Linked DNA regions of Drosophila melanogaster. The protein of the gene in region 3 interacts with the protein of the main gene of each other region in a pairwise test. Each region holds a gene or a part of one and is shown on either strand. Other genes may lie near its edges. The genes, in order: CG43736, CG34302, H15 and CG13843.

The links.
Region 1: the proteins of H15 (region 3) and CG43736 interact in a two-hybrid assay, tested with the Drosophila melanogaster proteins (one large-scale study listed by BioGRID).
Region 2: the proteins of H15 (region 3) and CG34302 interact in a two-hybrid assay, tested with the Drosophila melanogaster proteins (one large-scale study listed by BioGRID).
Region 4: the proteins of H15 (region 3) and CG13843 interact in a two-hybrid assay, tested with the Drosophila melanogaster proteins (one large-scale study listed by BioGRID).

The regions. Positions count from the first base shown.
Region 1 is NC_004354.4:6,866,434-6,871,236, forward strand, and holds the start of CG43736 (uncharacterized protein), read left to right. Parts: upstream 1-1,793; 5' UTR 1,794-2,347; intron 2,348-2,827; 5' UTR 2,828-2,956; coding exon 2,957-4,558; intron 4,559-4,803.
Region 2 is NT_033777.3:9,822,437-9,825,663, forward strand, and holds CG34302 (uncharacterized protein), read right to left. Parts: upstream 1,388-3,227; 5' UTR 1,176-1,387; coding exon 663-1,175; 3' UTR 563-662; downstream 1-562.
Region 3 is NT_033779.5:5,402,610-5,407,318, forward strand, and holds the start of H15 (H15), read left to right. Parts: upstream 1-1,670; 5' UTR 1,671-2,270; coding exon 2,271-2,583; intron 2,584-4,301; coding exon 4,302-4,709.
Region 4 is NT_033777.3:22,607,542-22,611,270, reverse strand, and holds CG13843 (uncharacterized protein), read right to left. Parts: upstream 1,787-3,729; 5' UTR 1,734-1,786; coding exon 1,165-1,733; intron 1,117-1,164; coding exon 597-1,116; 3' UTR 556-596; downstream 1-555. Other genes in the region: CG31156 (uncharacterized protein), read left to right, coding at 1-19, 72-261, 319-549, 1,790-1,922, 1,996-2,125, 2,188-2,411.

The DNA.
Region 1 (4,803 bases), on a different chromosome or scaffold from region 3:
CATATGACTAAATACGAATACCGCACTATTAGAAGGGGGTTTACATGGCCGTAGAGAAAAAAAAAACAAAAAACATCTTCCACACAAAGTACAAGAAATACCCAAACACACTCACGCACAGCTGACTAATTAGCAAAGCAAAACACCAAAAATCAAAACCCCCACTCAAAATCAAGAGAGATGCCACGAAACAGGGAGCCCGTAGAACGAAAGAATTAAAGAAAGCCACGCACTGGAGAGTCTCGTACCGTACAAACTAAAAAGCCCGGGAGACACCTGAAACCAAAGCCGAGAGATACCAATAAACTGCAGTGCCTTCCATTGACACTCGGCTTTTGAATACCCTAAAAACTGATTGGTGTACTTACGTACATTCATATATAAATTGCGTTTCGGTTTATATTGTGTAATCCTATTACACACATAAGCATATGATTGAATGAAAACAAGTAGAACCTTTAATAGGCTACAGTTGGTTCTAAATAAATTGAAGTGGACATTGCATTAAGTAAAATACATATCACAATGTGTTTTGGCGCAACTGTACGTTTAGTTTTCGGGACCAAATAACACCTGTTTTGATCTGACTGTACTTCGCGGGACTCGTTATTAACTGGCAGTTAACTTTTTAGCCCCGTATGATGGCGGCACAATGGAATTTGACTTGGACTCTTGGACCTGGCTAATTAAATTTTTTTTTTTGGTAAATGTTTAGAGTCGGGGCGACCTTTTGGAGCTGCGCCCGTTCGTGAACTCGTGTATTCGTTTGTTCGTGTTCGTGCTCGGTCGTTCCCGGTTTTCTCTGCCTTCTGGAACGGGGCCTGTCTTGAAAGCCGCAGAGCGCGCGAATACCGAAAACTTCTTGCATTCGACGGTGCGAAAGGGACGGGGAGAGTGATGGCATGTGGGAAAGGGAGAGGGCTAGAGCGAGGAGAGGTGGCCATCGAATGCTAAGCAGGGGCCTTTGCTTTTGCTTTTGGTGCTTGCCAAAAATAGAGCCGCCCCGCCACGCCTTCGCCCACAAAGAGCACCCACCCACCCACTCCCGCACAAAAGCAACAACATCATCATCACACCACCAATACCAAAACCAATACCAATACTGTGACCCAGCCAGCTCTCTGTGAACATGTGTCAGTGTGTGTGGGTCTTGTATATAGCATAGCTTAAGCTTTCCTTGTACCGTGGTTCAAATGCCAGGGGAAAATGGCATTATTATATTCTTATAGAGAAATAATATATACAAATAAATTTGTACAACTGTATGTAAAGAGTAAACATGTAACAAGGAAACACTAATTTTAAAGTAAATTTAGCTAGTTTGCATTATTTTTTACACCATTTATATGAGTAAGCCACAAAGAAGCTTGCCTTTTTTGATCTGCTTGATTCCCAGATGGTGTTACTAAAAAATAATGCGAATTTGAGAGAAAGTTTAACAATAAAAAGTTCAAATTCGAGATACATATGTGTAGAGTATTTAAAGAACTTAATTGTGAGGTTAAATATTCAACAAATGGTAAACTTGTAATCCCATAAATTCGTATTATTTTATAAAATTTTACTTTCATACTGAATTGGCTAAGATCCCTTAATTAATTTCCATAAGTTGCTTATGTCTTAACCACTGTGGGTTGTAACTCTGCAGCTACGTTGACGTCGGCGTCGCAGCTTAGAGCTAGTCGATGAGCGGAAGGAGAGAGAGAGAGCAGGCGTTCGTCGAGGAGGGGGCTAGCCGAATAGGGTGAGAGAGAGCGATGGCAGAGTAGGAAAATGCATAAGAAGGGGGGTGGGGGCGCAAAAGGGAGACGGACAGCAGCAACAACAATTCGGCAAAATGTTCGTGGCAGCGTTGCAGCGACGCCGACTGCGCTACGGGTGTTTGTTTTTTTCTCTTTCGTGTTTTCCGTTTTTCTTTTGCGCTCTGCATCCGCTGCCGCAGTAGGCGTCGCTGCCGGCGCGCTGCGCCAGTGTGGGTGAGCGCACGGCTGTAGGTTTGTGTGTGTGCCGTACACATTTTTCAGTTGACTTCGTTGAAATAATTTTCGTAACAACGATCACACTCGTTTGTGTATTGCGAAGACGGGCGGACGTGCGTCGGCGTCGAATGCGGAACAAGCGCTAAAGCAAACTAGCGAAAAAGTGCGAATATCAAAAGAAAAGAGAACCAAACAAATTGTTTTTTTTTTTCACCACGAGCGTCGTCGCAAAAACAACAAAAAGGAATTTAATAAACCAAAAGCAAACGAGGAGAGAGAAAGCAGCAACTAAATATAACAACAAATGCATTAAATAGTTTTGTTTTTTTTTTTGCCACACTGCCAAAATGCAGTTAGCGTTTGTTTGTGTAAGTGTACCACATGCATACATAATGTATAATTTATATGCCAAAAACAACAACAGCAATAGCATTGTGTGCAAAATGTTGAAATGAGCTCGAAAAACAACAAAAATAAGTGCGCGCATTAACACACGCACACTTGCAAAGGAAAACATCTAAAAAAATTATCACGTGTGTGTGTGTGTGTGTGTGTGTGTGAGACAGCCGGTCAGTGTGACCGTTTGTGTGCCAGAAAGAGAAGGATCGAACAAGCCGGCTGTTTATTTCTTTTATAGTTCTGTTTAAATAACAAATACACTTGCCAAAAGAATTTCATTTTGATGTGTGAATAATTAAAAAAATCAGTAAGACATAATGCAGTCTTTGTTAAATATATATTGACATATATGAGCATATATATAAATACATACACAAATAACATATCAAATTGAAATGCTGGCAGTACCAATCGAACTGTCATCCTAACAAGTAAATTTTTCAATACAGCTCCTAATATAAAACCAAACCAAAAGTGTGGATATCGAAAAGTCTGGAAAAGTACGATAACGCAAGATTACATAGAGCGCGAGCAAGACAGCATTCTAGAGCAAAAGAGCGAGAGTGTGCGGAGGAGCGATGGCCAGCGAGGATGTGCAGATCACTAGCGTCATCGATGCCAATGGCCAGAGCCTACCGCTCCACGGCAACAGTTTGGGCGGTCCCCTGGGACCGCCCGTCAAGCAGGAGCGTCCCGATGACGCCGAGATCCGCGAACTAGCTGCCAAAATGAAGGAGCAGCAGAAGCAACAGGCCGCCCAGCAGGCATCCCGTCAAGCGGCCATGCAGCACTCGAATGGGGGCGCCATTGCGGCATCCTCGGCCGGTGGCAACATGCAGCCGCCGATCACAAATGGCAATGGCCAGACCAATATCATGAACTACCTATCTCGTCATCAGAAACTACCCAACGGCACCATGCAGGTGGTGCCCGCCTTGGCCTCCAATGGCCGCTCGAATGGAGCCGTCAGCGACTCCGGCTCGGACAAGAAGTCCTCCACGGGACCCTGCGACGAGGAGTCCATTCAAGGCCACTTCGGCTGGGCTCAGTTCGGCAAGGTATCCATACCGTACATCTATCGCCAATCGGAGAAGTACTGCTCCGTGCGCATGATCGAACTGAAACTGCTGGGCAAATACCTTAACTGCCTGCATCCGGATATCTACTCCAGCTGCACCTGCGTGCGCAGCTACTACATCACCGATGCGGAGGCCCGTCTCTTCATCGAGATTAATCATAAGCATTGTGACGGCGAGTTCGGTCGCGACATCTTCAACCAAAAGGATTTGGTGGTGCGTCTCAGTGACGCATCCAAGTTCTATCAGTTCCTGGATATTTGCTATAGGAAACTAGTCTCCGGCAGCAAGACGCCGTCGGAGAAGTGCGGCTTTATTCGCATCAACAAGGAGTCCGTGGTGCCCTACACTGTGCGCAACAATCAGCAGGTTGTGCCGCTCTTTTATTTTGAGGGCGAGACCGAGAATCTAAAGACCAAAGCGGAGCTGCTCAATGGCTGGGACCTGGCTTATCTAAAGTTCTGCTGCAAGGTGCAGGGCATACGCAATGAGCTCTTCTCCAGCGAGAACGTGGCCGTGATTTCGCTGACGGACATCAAAAGCTACTTCCCAAATGGCACCGAATTCGAGGACTACTGGCCCAGCAAGGTGGTTGACTCCAATCTGCTCATTGGCAATCGGGCCAATGTCAACAACTCGGTCAATTGGACCCGTCAACCCTCGGCGCCGCCTCCAAAAGTGACCACCTCCGTTTCCGGATCGTCCGGCCCTTCCTCCTCCAGCGGCGGCAACATGGGCCAGAACACATCAGCCGCATCATCCTCCGCGAACACCGCTGGTGGCCAACAGGTGACCTCAAAATCTCAGCAACAGCACGCTGCCTCTGCCGCCGCAGCAGCGGCGACGGCGCATCAACAGCATCTGATGAAGCAACGCGCCGCCGCAGCAGCAGCTGCCGCCGGCGCCAATGGTGTGGCGAATGCGGCAAATAGTTTTGGGGCAGCCGCGGTAGCGGCCTTCAATTCCCAGGCGGCGGCAGCGGCGTCGATGCTCCAGCAGTCGCAGGGCAACAACAGGATGTTATCGCAGGCCACCGTCCAGGCTTTGGCCAGCAGCGGATGGATGTCCGGACAGACAAACCTGCAGCTCCACGCCCAGATGATGGTGAGTTGAGCACTAGGCTAGCTAACGTTTTCCTCCAATTAATGCACAATGTTTATCAAACTTTGGGATATCAAAGCTATTAGCAAAGTTTGAGAAGTAATGCCCAATCGTAATCTGGAATATAATATCAACGTTGCTATGGTATCATTTATTATACCCCAGCTACTGAACAATATTATAGATACAAGATTCTTTACACTCAACCGAATTATCGTTTTTCAAGCCTTATCTAGAAATTCGAGCCT
Region 2 (3,227 bases), on a different chromosome or scaffold from region 3:
ATCCCTTGCCCTGGACTTCCCGGAATAAATTCGAGTGTAATTGACGGCGCATTTGATTTATTAGTTTTCTCATTAAACAAATTGTTGAACAATGCCGGGCAAAGAACAATACACTGTGCGACATTCCATGGTACACGCACACATACATATAATATCTCGCCCAGCACTTGGGTTTATTTATGTAGATTGATGGTCATTCGTGTAAACACATCCATTGACGTAAATTTGAATAAACATTTTCATTAGCCAAATGTCCATGAGCCCCTGGAGACAGTCGGAGCTTGATATCTGATGGGCAATGGACGATGGACGATGGGCAATGGACGATGGTAATGATGACCTGGCAATCACATTTGCTCAATTGGATTCGACTTGGTCGCTGCCCGGATTTTGGGTAATTTATTACACCGGCTAAAAGTACCAATTACAAGGCATCCGATTCAATCCTTTCCACGATTCCCTGGTGAGGAATTGACCTTCGGTCAAATTGGTAATGACCCATTATCACATAAACATAAACATAAACAGCTTTCAGTTTTTGGAAAAAAAAAGTTTACAATTTACCAAAAGGTGTATAAATACTTTATTATATCACGTTATCATTTATATGTATATTTCTCAGAAATATTTGTACTTTCTTTTGTATTAAAAGTGGATAGCAGCTACAAATTTCGTTTTCTATTTTCGCGCTTATTGTATTTATTTTCGTCATTGATCTCTGACGAAATGGTGGGTATATCTGCAAGCAGGTCAATATTTTTCTGAAACATCAGCATGTCTGCATCGACGATATCCGGTATATTCCAATAGTCCTCATTGACTTCGTATTTTGGATTTTTGTCATAGAAGGAACCGGTGAGTACGGAAAGCTGTAACTGCTGGCGAATCTTCTGGAACAGCTCAAGTTTCTGTTGGCGCTGCAATCTCACCTCGGCAATCACGCGTTGAAAGGTGGGGTCCATATGGCTCTTATCCTGGGCATCCGAACAGCGAGCAATGTTCACAAGGAAAGCCTTCGATTGGTCCACGGTCAGTCTCAGTCCGTCCATTGGTTTCTTTCCGGCCCAAAGAGTTAAGCAGCGGGCACACAATCCAGTCGGAAAATGGTATACCAAATTGGAGCACATCTCACATTTGGTAATTTCCAAAAGAGGATTACGGCGGAGTGGATCCATCGTGTTAATCGCTGGCAGGTCTTTAGCAAATGCAACTCCCTGCGAAATGTTCTCTGTCACTTCGATAGTCTTGAAAACGGGCCACTTTTTTGCGTAACCTCAAAAAAGTTCGATAAATGAAATCTCTAAAATAGGGTTAACACCTTTACAATGGTTTCTTATTGGAATTTTAGTCCCTATTGTTTTTGAATGCAAATCAAAAACTTGATTGACCGTTAAAAAATATTTTTGGCACGGTTATATTTTTAATAGTAATTTAGCAGTGCCTGCAATTTTTGTGTAAATACAAATTACACATCTTTTCCATCAAGTAATTGAAATAAAAAAGTTCCCCCTCCGCCGGCAAGTAGTTTTCCACCCATTTTGTCAGGTGAATTCATCCACATTTATCAGCTGTAAAAATCTTCAGCTCCCAAAGCAAGGACTTCTTAAACCTTAACTCTTTTGGAGGCCGACGCTGCTCTCTTTTTTTTCTCCAGCTCAGAACGGAATTCGTTTAATTTGTTAAATTGAAATTATGGTAATTTCCTGCAGTCATGCGAACCTTTTCATACCCGTTCGTGTCTGGCCGGAACCAATGACGAGAGGCCTGGGCCGGATGGAGGGGCCACCCAACGTTGGCTGATGGCTGTTAGCTAACCGAAAGTCAAGTTCATAAATTTGAGGCCCACGGTGCGAGGAGAACTACCTGTCCAGGTTTTGGTGGTCGCACTCATTGCAGCAGCACGCCTCATGGCTCAATCCGCCTGCCCCCCAATCCTCGTGTCACCCTCCTGGCCCATGCCATTTGCCTGACGCCTCCAATCCGAAGGTTGGAGCCCGGCTAATCGATAGCTCTCCATGGCGATGGACGGGGTGGGTGTTGATTTATGGCATTGCCGACGCACCGAAACTCGCTCCGAGATCCGACGAAAGTGACACATTAATGTGTTCAATTGAAGTGCCAACTACCTGCCGCTTTGTTCCTCCTCATCCGCAGCGCAGGTGGTGGAGGAGGAGGACCAGCCAGGACAGTTGGAAACAAAAAGCGCCCCCGGTGCTCTGGCAGCTTGTTAAGCTCGTTGTTCTCTCAATTGCTCCTCCAAGTGGAGCCCTTCCTTCCAATTTGCGCATTTTCAAGCCATCAATCGCTAGGATACAGCAATCAGTGGTGGGTAGGGTACAATGTCTTCATATGTGATATGTTTGTAAAACAACTCAATATTACAGATATTTAAATGAAATATTTACCTTCGCTTGAGGTTAGATATTTTATATACCCAAGTGTATGTAGATACGGGAAAGATTTTCCAATGGCTACTAGTTACCTGTTGAGCAAACGCGTAGCCCGAGGAGCTGCGTTCTTGTAGCGATTTGTGCTCGCAACTTTGTGGCAGCTTCCGTTATGAGGGACTCGCTTCCTGCCACACTAATCGATGAAGGATCAACTGGGGCCTACGGTTATGACATCGTTCCCTAAAAAACTTTTTCCCACCCAATGTGTTTGTAGTATTCCAGCACAGAGAACGACCGCTGAGTTGGGCTAACTCAGTTTTCGGGTTGCGTCGGGCAAACAACTTGAATCGAAGGCTGTGGCTGCTGTTTGCTGGATCCTTGGTTTCTGGCAGAAACCACGGCAGTTCTTTTTTCCCATACATATGCGAACACAACAAACGCACCAAGCGATGGAAAATCAGTGGAGTGGGGGCGACCAGGGTTTGTGGCATGGAGATTGTGTTTGCCAATGCTGCAGCTCAAGTGTAAACATCATCTGGTGGCAAGGATGTGCGGATGAACTTTCCCATAAGGCGGGGAAATGAGCACAGAAACAAAATTCTGCGCGGGAAGGATATACTGGTTGAAAAAAGTTCTCGATGTTCTTAGAAAACTTTATCATTGAATTATGAAAACTGCAAATTCTCTGTTGAAATATTTTATATTGCGAAAAAGGAGTCTTGGATGTGCAGCAAAAGAAGTTGGTGCATTTGCTTTGTTTGCTCCAAAACTTTCGGAGTTATAAACTATGCTTGCATACTTTTAGGAACATTTATTATTAACGAAGTTTAAAGCCTT
Region 3 (4,709 bases):
GACGAATTGTGAAAAAAGTCTGACGGAGGGAAACAAGATGGTGGCACCACCAGAGCCCCTTCCCCTCACCCCACCAGTTTCCTCCCTTTTCCATGGGTCTATAATTTTCTGCTGCGTTCACACGCCATAGTCGCATTTTTTTTCCAACCATCTTTTGTTGTTTCCTTTGAGCAAACATTTAAATTAAAAACATTTACATACGCCGGTGGGCGGACAAAAGGGAGGAGTGCCAGGAACCCAGATATTCAATTATGATTTTTCAATTGGAGGACCCAGCACACGAGACACTTTCTCAGATAAGTCCTGTCGCAGGACTTTTTGTTTTTTCTCTTGACGGTCTGGAAAATTATAGGGTGATGGTTAGGATGTTTAAAGGACATTTAAAGGGAATGAATAATTACAAGAATACAAATACATAAATATATTTTTCTTGGAATTTGGTGAAAATACAACTTGTAACGAAACAATTCAATACATTTTTCATAGCTCAAAATTGTACAATTTTTTTGAATAAAATGAGAAAAATGTGGAAACAGAAAACATTTCGAAATATTTTACATAAAATGCTGGCAAACAATAAAATGATGGCAAATGCGGGATAACCCCTTTGTTCATTTTTTACATTAATTTCCTCTCCTGAATTTTATAGATTTCCCTACCATGTTTAAATATGCTTTATAAGGTTATGTTTATAAAACATTCATTTCAATGTTATAGGTTAGTTCTTAATATAAAATCGTTTATTTAAGACTTAAAAAATATGTAATCAAGAACAATAATATTAATTTCAGAGATACCATGAAATTAAATATTATTAAAAGAATTTTTCAATATTCTCAATTTATACAGTAAACGTAACTAGAACGAAACTCACTCGCTTTTCCACTCAACTCAGTGCGCTGTGGTGAATAGCCAATGAGAAACGGAATGGAATCGGACCGAGTTGAGAATAATTGTAAATAGTCGACGAAAAGCGGTGAAACACACCCCCAACCCCGACCAACAAAATCCACTCACACTCACCATAGCAACAACAACAATGAAGCAAAGAACTGTCAACAGCCAAAAACAAAATGACGAATTTATGAACTCCTCAGCGCGCTCTCTTTCGCGCTCCCTTGCTTCTAGCGGCACGAGTGAGATGGCAGCAACAAAAGGCTCTCACTCAAATACGGCTATATAGAGTTGTCTCGCTCTAACACGCGGCTAGCTTATGAATTGGTATTGTTTTGAGTGCATGGGAATGTGTGTTCGAATTGGAAAATGGAAATGAGTTATGCCTCGACGCCGACGTCGCTGCAAGCAGCATGGGAATGCACTGCATGTGTGGCCATCTCGCTCACACCAGTCTAATTGAAAACCGTATTTTTTCCCATATTTCTTTTGCGGTTTAAACTGGCGGTTTGCCTACGTCACGTAAGGAAAGTTTCGGGCCATGTTCTCTGGAAATGTTTCCTTACGTCGCGTTACGTGGTGTTGAAAACCTTTCGCCGTAAGACACATCAGCTGTTGTTGTTTCTGTTTTGGGGGGTCAGTCGACGTCGCAGTTGGCTTCGCTGTCGGCGTCCTCGTATTTGTTGTTGATTTTTGCGTTGCGTTTTTTTGTTGGTTTTGTTGGCTTTGGCTTTGGCGCTTTTGGCGTTTACATGGCGAAAAGCGAATTGGGATTCATTCAATGGTCAGCTGCGTGACTGTGAAGCAGCGACGGCGCTCCGGAATTTCCCGTTTCCTACTCGAGAATACGCAAATTACGATAAATAGCACGAAAAACCGGAGACCGCAAATACGGGCGTAAAGTCGTCAAGTCGCAAAGTGTGTCGTAAAACGTTGGAAAAAATAATACACATTATTTGCAAAAAAAAATTAGACAAATTTTATAATATTTTATTATTTAATAAAAAATCAAACGGCACAAGAATAATAACATACATACATATATAAAAAGGAAGCAAAGCAACTCTGTGTGATAAAGCAGTTTAAATTATTAAAAGCAAAAGCCGGCAAAAAATCAACAAATATGTTGAAGAAAATTGTAAAGAATTCAGTTTAAATCCGAATATAATATTTTAAAGAGCATTAAACAAACAAGTCCCAAAATAGTAGAACTAATGCAAATACAAACATATCAAATAATGGGCAACAAATAGGCAAACGATAAAGAAAATACCAACAAAAGCGGGAAAGAAAGTCCGAAACCTTTGAGAGCATATATTTGGCAAGAATTGGCTAAAATCCGTGCAGCAGCATTACCAATTGGTCTCGGCCCGAAAATGCTTTTGAGCAATCAGCCGGCGAATACGAAACCGCAGCAAACGCCTTCGCCGTCGCAGACGCAGAACTTCAAGTCGAAGCTGCAGCAGCAGATTGTTTCGGCAGCGGCGGCGGCAGCGGCGAACATAGCCAACGGCAGCAGCCATCATCATCATCATCAGAACCATCATCATCACCATCCGCTGAACAACCATCATAATCACAATCACAATCAGCACAACATTTCCTTCGCCACGGATTTCTCAATTGCGGCGATTATGGCGCGCGGCGGAAACGCCCCAAGCAGCCGCGAACCTTCGGAACGCAGTCTGAGTGAGTAAAGTAATTCCCGCACTAAAATATCAGGCCTACATCGCAAACTAGACTCAAGAGCTGTTCAAAAATAGCCAATGCATTTTAGGGCTTCATTTTCGATTGGGTTTCAGAACAATAAGTATCTTGATATCGTTAGTTTGCATGAAACGAGCTTAAAAACCAATCTTCATTTGAGTCCCATCGCTTCATTCATGAACGTATGTTTCTTATGATTCTTGAATTCATATTCAGCTCCTTACTACAAACAAGTTTCACTCTATTAACATATTCAATATTCCATTCTTTCGATTGAGACTAATAAATTGGCCAGTCAAAGTTTGAAAAGATTTTAACTCTGGCATATCTAGCATGTTGATGTTTATCCCAAGTTACGGGCTTGTCTGCTGATTTAACTATAAATATTTACGATCCAGGATTAAAATATGAAAGGCTTGATAAATGATTGAAAATAATCAAGCTGTGACGAAGAGCCAATTATCACATTTATGTATTATTTATGTGAATTTTTTAATTCAGATTTCAGATACAAGATTAGGAAAGTACACTCAAAATCGAAATAGAACTCGATAAAATCACACATAAGAGCAGAAACAAAATGCATTGCCAGAAAAATATATGTGTAGCAAATTGGCTTTGAATACTTGAGACTTGATGAAGAACAAAAGCAAATTAGTAGGTTAGTGTGCTAGCAAGAAAATTGAAATGTAGTTGATATTTCTATATATTTCTAGAAACACGTAAAGCAGTTAGGAAAATATATAAACATATTTCATTGGCTTTGGTAAAGAGTCATGTAATCGATTGCTTAGTAATATTCACTTGCTTTATTACCCACCTCTTGAAAAACTGTCGCAGCTGCATTACATTTCTATATTTTCCACATTTTTTGCTGCCCTTTTTGTGCAATATAAATTATATATTGATGACAATGCAACGTTGATGACTTGATAATTGCAGCAAATGCGCGGCAATAAAATAATCAAAGCCTATTTGAATGCGCCAAAGGGGTTGGGAAATGCACATGACAGGCGCAGAGCAGATACATATATATGTATAATCGCATTTGTATATACACTCTGAATGCAAAACTATTTAGATGCCATAATTGGGCAGAGACAAAAGCGCAAACAGATGCATTCATTAGTGTGAAAACCGACCCCCCCCCCACCATCGTGCACACCATTCTCTTTCAATTGGCAATTTTCATTGGCAATGCCAGCACACAAATACACACGAAATTAACATATGAAATTGCATTTTGAGCAAATAATTGAATTTCTGGCGTAATCTGTAAAATGCATCTGGTCGCGAACTGGATTCTCGTTGGCATTGCTGTTGCGACTCGTCATCGACAACATGCAACATGTTGCAGCCCAGCAGCAACTCCCACATTAACGAGCCACGCTGATGTCTCTCTTTTCTAAGTGCACTGAAAGAATATGCTCTTCTAATATGACAACAAACAATTAGCACTTATGTCTGTTAAGAAATGATATACTTAAATACACATTCTTTACTGTTAGAAATTCGTAGGAATCTTTTTTATAAACTTATAAGCTCTAAGTATCATTATATTTAATATTAATTATTTTTGGTTACTTGTATCAAACATTAATTTTTAATGATTGTGTTTTGTAGTTGCAAGTAGTTGTTTTTCCATAATTGGGACTTAGTTACTGACGCATTCTGCCCCCCATTCATTTCTGGTCGTGTAGGTCCCGCATCTGTGGAGCGCTATTCAGGCCAGGATGCGGACGATGATGTTGACGTTGATGTGGTCGACTGCAGTGACTCGGAAATGCCGTCGGCAACTGCGGCAGCAGCAGCGGCGGCAACAACAGCAGCGGCTGCAGCGGCAGCATTGCAGGCGCAGCAACAAGCGCGTCAGGCATTGCGTGTTGCACAGCAACAACAGCAGCAGCAGCAACAACAAAGGCAGCAGACACATCACCACGCAACAACTGGCAAGCAACAACGCCAACATCACAATCATCACAGCAGCAACACCAACAACAGCAGCAACTCAGGCAACAGCAACACCAACAGCAAATCAAGCAGCCAGCGAGGGCGTTCTGCTGCCGCAGTGGGAGCCGCTGCCACGCCCTCGCCACCGCCGCCCCCGC
Region 4 (3,729 bases), on a different chromosome or scaffold from region 3:
ACAAACGAAAGGAGCGCAGGTTTGGACGAAGATCAAATTAAAAGCAACACAAACAAACATATTTTGTATAGTGTCCATAGCGCGTCGTTTGAATGATCCATTGAGTGAATATGTTAAAATAGAGCCCCGTCACCTGGGGGTTGGTATGTACCAGCACGATGTTCCCGAGAAGATTTTGACGGCATCGCTGAATGACGTTGTGTCCGAGTGTGTCAGTTATGTTGGCGTTGATCTCAACACAGCCAGTCTGAGTGTACTCAAGTATGTGTGATTAAGGGTCAAATAAGTTATATATTTTTAATATTCTCCACCATATAGGCACATTGCTGGTCTGTCGGAAAAGAAAGCGGAAAAGATCATTGAGCATCGTACGCAGAAAGGACCATTCAAGACACGGAAGGATCTGCTCTCCGTGCGAAGCATAGGTGAGAAATCGTTTGTCCAGTGCGCCGGTTTTGTGCGCATCGAACCCCGAAGCGTTGGAGGACAACTACAGAATCCATTAGATTGCACTTGGGTGCATCCTGAGAGCTACAACGTTGTGGAAAGGTAAGTCCAATATTCAATTGACTTCATTAACCAATAATAATGAGACTTTATTCCGCCTGATTCATCGCAAGCCTGGCCTTTTCATCCGCTGCCCTCACTAACAAGGAGGTGTCACTAGGTGTCACAATGTCACTTTCGTGTTGCGTGATGCCAGCTATGTTCTTTGGACAATCGTCGTCAAAATTCTTAAGATTTGTAACATCCTCGCTAGATTCCATTTGACACCAGCACGGAAGGTACGGCTTCAAGGGATCCTTCTTGTCGCAACGCTTGCAGGTGCAGTTCTCCATGCCGGCACTCATAAAAGTCCGGAAGTCCGTCTCCTGACTCAAAAGCCCCAGATAGTCCTCTATAGAGTGCTCTTTCATAGGGTCCATCAGCTCCGCCCACGTCTTTAGCTTCACGATCACGCCAAAGAAATACGTGTTTAAGTCCTCGATTATTTGCAGCACCGAATCTAGCTCTTTCAAGAATGTACTTCCTAAAGACCGGTCCAACCTGGCTACGCGTTGATCTAGCTCCTTTTTCGACTCACTCATGTCCAGGTATAAATTGCTCAAATCGGTGCTAAAAAGTTTTAAATTAGCAGTGGCTGTGTATTTTTAATAGACTTACTTTGACTGATTGACGATATTGTAGGCTCTCTGAAACTCGCAAAGGGCCCGCTCTTCGGTCATCCGGCTTATGTACTCGGGATAGGTCTTAGTGCATCCGGTCGAGCTGGCTAAAATGCGATAACGCACTCCATGGTAACGCATCTCCTTAACCCTCTCAATCTGAAATGGTTTGGCCTGCTCCAGCTCATTCTTCAGGGCCTTCATTTTCTGGTCAACTACTAGAGTTTGCTCGTGCACACACTGCTCAAGCTTAAAATCGTAGCGGGAGTAGATATTCTCACAATGCTTGAAGGTTGGCTTCAGCAAATGGATGGGAATGGTCGATCCCCGGCACGGTGGCGGAAGCGGACGACGCTTGTACCGCTCCGGCGGATACTCCCAGCAAACTCCAAAGCGGGTTTGATCCTGCACATTGAGCGGATGCTGCCAGCAGGGCTTGTATTTCGGCTTATCGTTGTGGCCGTAGAATGCTACCTTTCCACATGCAACATATCGAAGCTTGGCTGGCGGCACAATTGGAGGATAATGCCAGCGCTCCGCATATTCCTGCTTTAGCTTGGCAATCATTATAATGGAAAATTTGAAAACTTAACTCTAAAACCAAATACTTTTTGTGCTTTCAGTATTGTCGGAGAATGTGACTTAAAGCTGTCGGATGTGGGCAAGGCTGCCTTTATAGCTAGCATCAAGCAGTTTGCCTCATCCCAGCCTAATCTCGATCGCATTGCCAAGCAGCACAAGCTGCCCATGGAGCGAGTAAGTGCCACTCAATCTATACTAAACAGGCCTATTGCAATGTTCAAATAATTTAAAATAAATTTCCTTTCAGTTGGAGTTCCTGTTGGTTGCCCTGCAGCGCGAATTACTTCAGGATTATCGAGCAGATCTGGACAAGAGGCCACTGTTCAAACAAGGTCTAACTAGGCTGGATGATCTTAGCATGGGCGAGGTGGTCACTGGCAAGTGGAGACTATGATAGTCATTTCATATATGTACTTATTGAAACTATTCCGACACACAGGTGCCGTGACCAACGTAACCCAGTTTGGCGCCTTCGTGGACGTTGGAGTGGAGCGCAATGGCCTCATACACAACAGTAACATGAATAATTCGCAGCTGAGCGTTGGCGATCGCATTGTGGCATCGGTGGTAAAGGTGGATCTGAAGCGACGCCAGTTGGAATTACGTTTGGAAAATATGCTGATGGAGACGGATACCTCGTTTAAGTTCAAGGCGGAGGATTAGACAAACTGCAGGGATTTAATGCTTTCGGAAGTATTTAATGATTCATATCGTAATTGTTTGGTTGCTCACACGAGCATTCATATATACTATATATAGTTCATATATATATTTATATATATGTGTATATGCATAGTATAACGGCTTTCCTAAGTTTAATCAAAGCTTATCAGTTAGTAATAAATGTTCACATAAAAATCACCGTCTCCACGTTCGTCTTCTTGTTTCCCTTCTCGCCACAAGTTGGCAAGTTGTCTTAAATGAATTGTTATCGAAAGGGTATTGCTTTAGAAACTAAGTGATGCCCTCTTAAGCCAGTTAAAATAAATATACAATATGCATACATTTAGGCGCTTGGTTTGCAGCAGGCAAGTTGCTTTCACTTTTAGTTAGTTTGTATTTTCGAATTTATTGCCGTTTCAGTAGAATTGTTAAAAATTATTATAAACAATGTTATATAGTCTGCATTTACATAATTACACAATACCATAATCATAATATATTCAAAAATATATGATGCATTTAATTTTATTTTTTCCTCCATCTCTCTTTACCCCGTAATGGATATTTAATTTCATATTCTAGCTACATGGACATGTCGCGTAATCAACCGATAGTTGTTTAAATAAATATATTAATCCGTACATAATATTGGAGTAACTGTTCCTACACAGTTAAATGTGATAATGTATCGCAAAAGACCAAAAACAAGTTGTACACGGTATGGTAGTAATTGCTTAAGCTTAATGCTAATGCGCTTGTCCTCTTCTCAATTCTCATTTCGTTATTGTTACTGCCGATGTTCTCCATCTTGTGGTTGTGTAGAGATATTGTTCATTAATTAATAATTTATTTTTATCATTTATAATGATAGCATAGGTAATGATGTAAGTATTGTTTATCAACTCTTGTAATAATAAGTCTATGTGTATAAGCAGTTTTCATTCTCGTTCCTAAACAGCCGTCCAGCAGAATCTTTGGCGGAGCAAATATGAACGATAATTCAAATTCGAATCGATCTGACTGTGTAGCTTTAAATCAGGTGAAACCGATCTCGAATACCCTCATTCTGGATAAGTAGCATGGTAAATATAAAATCAACTGCACGAATTCGAGATAATCCTCTGGTTGCCGAGATTATGCCGATGTCTTCTGATGAACGACCTTTAAACGTAAAATTCTCCCTCGTTAATTATCGCATTGGTAGTCTAATTGTCTCAAATGATCTCTTTCTCGCAACCCCTGATGGGGTTTTAACTGACTGAAAGTGCACGAATTCCGAATTTCTGTGGCAGACACGGCACAGCCGCAACGCTTGAGT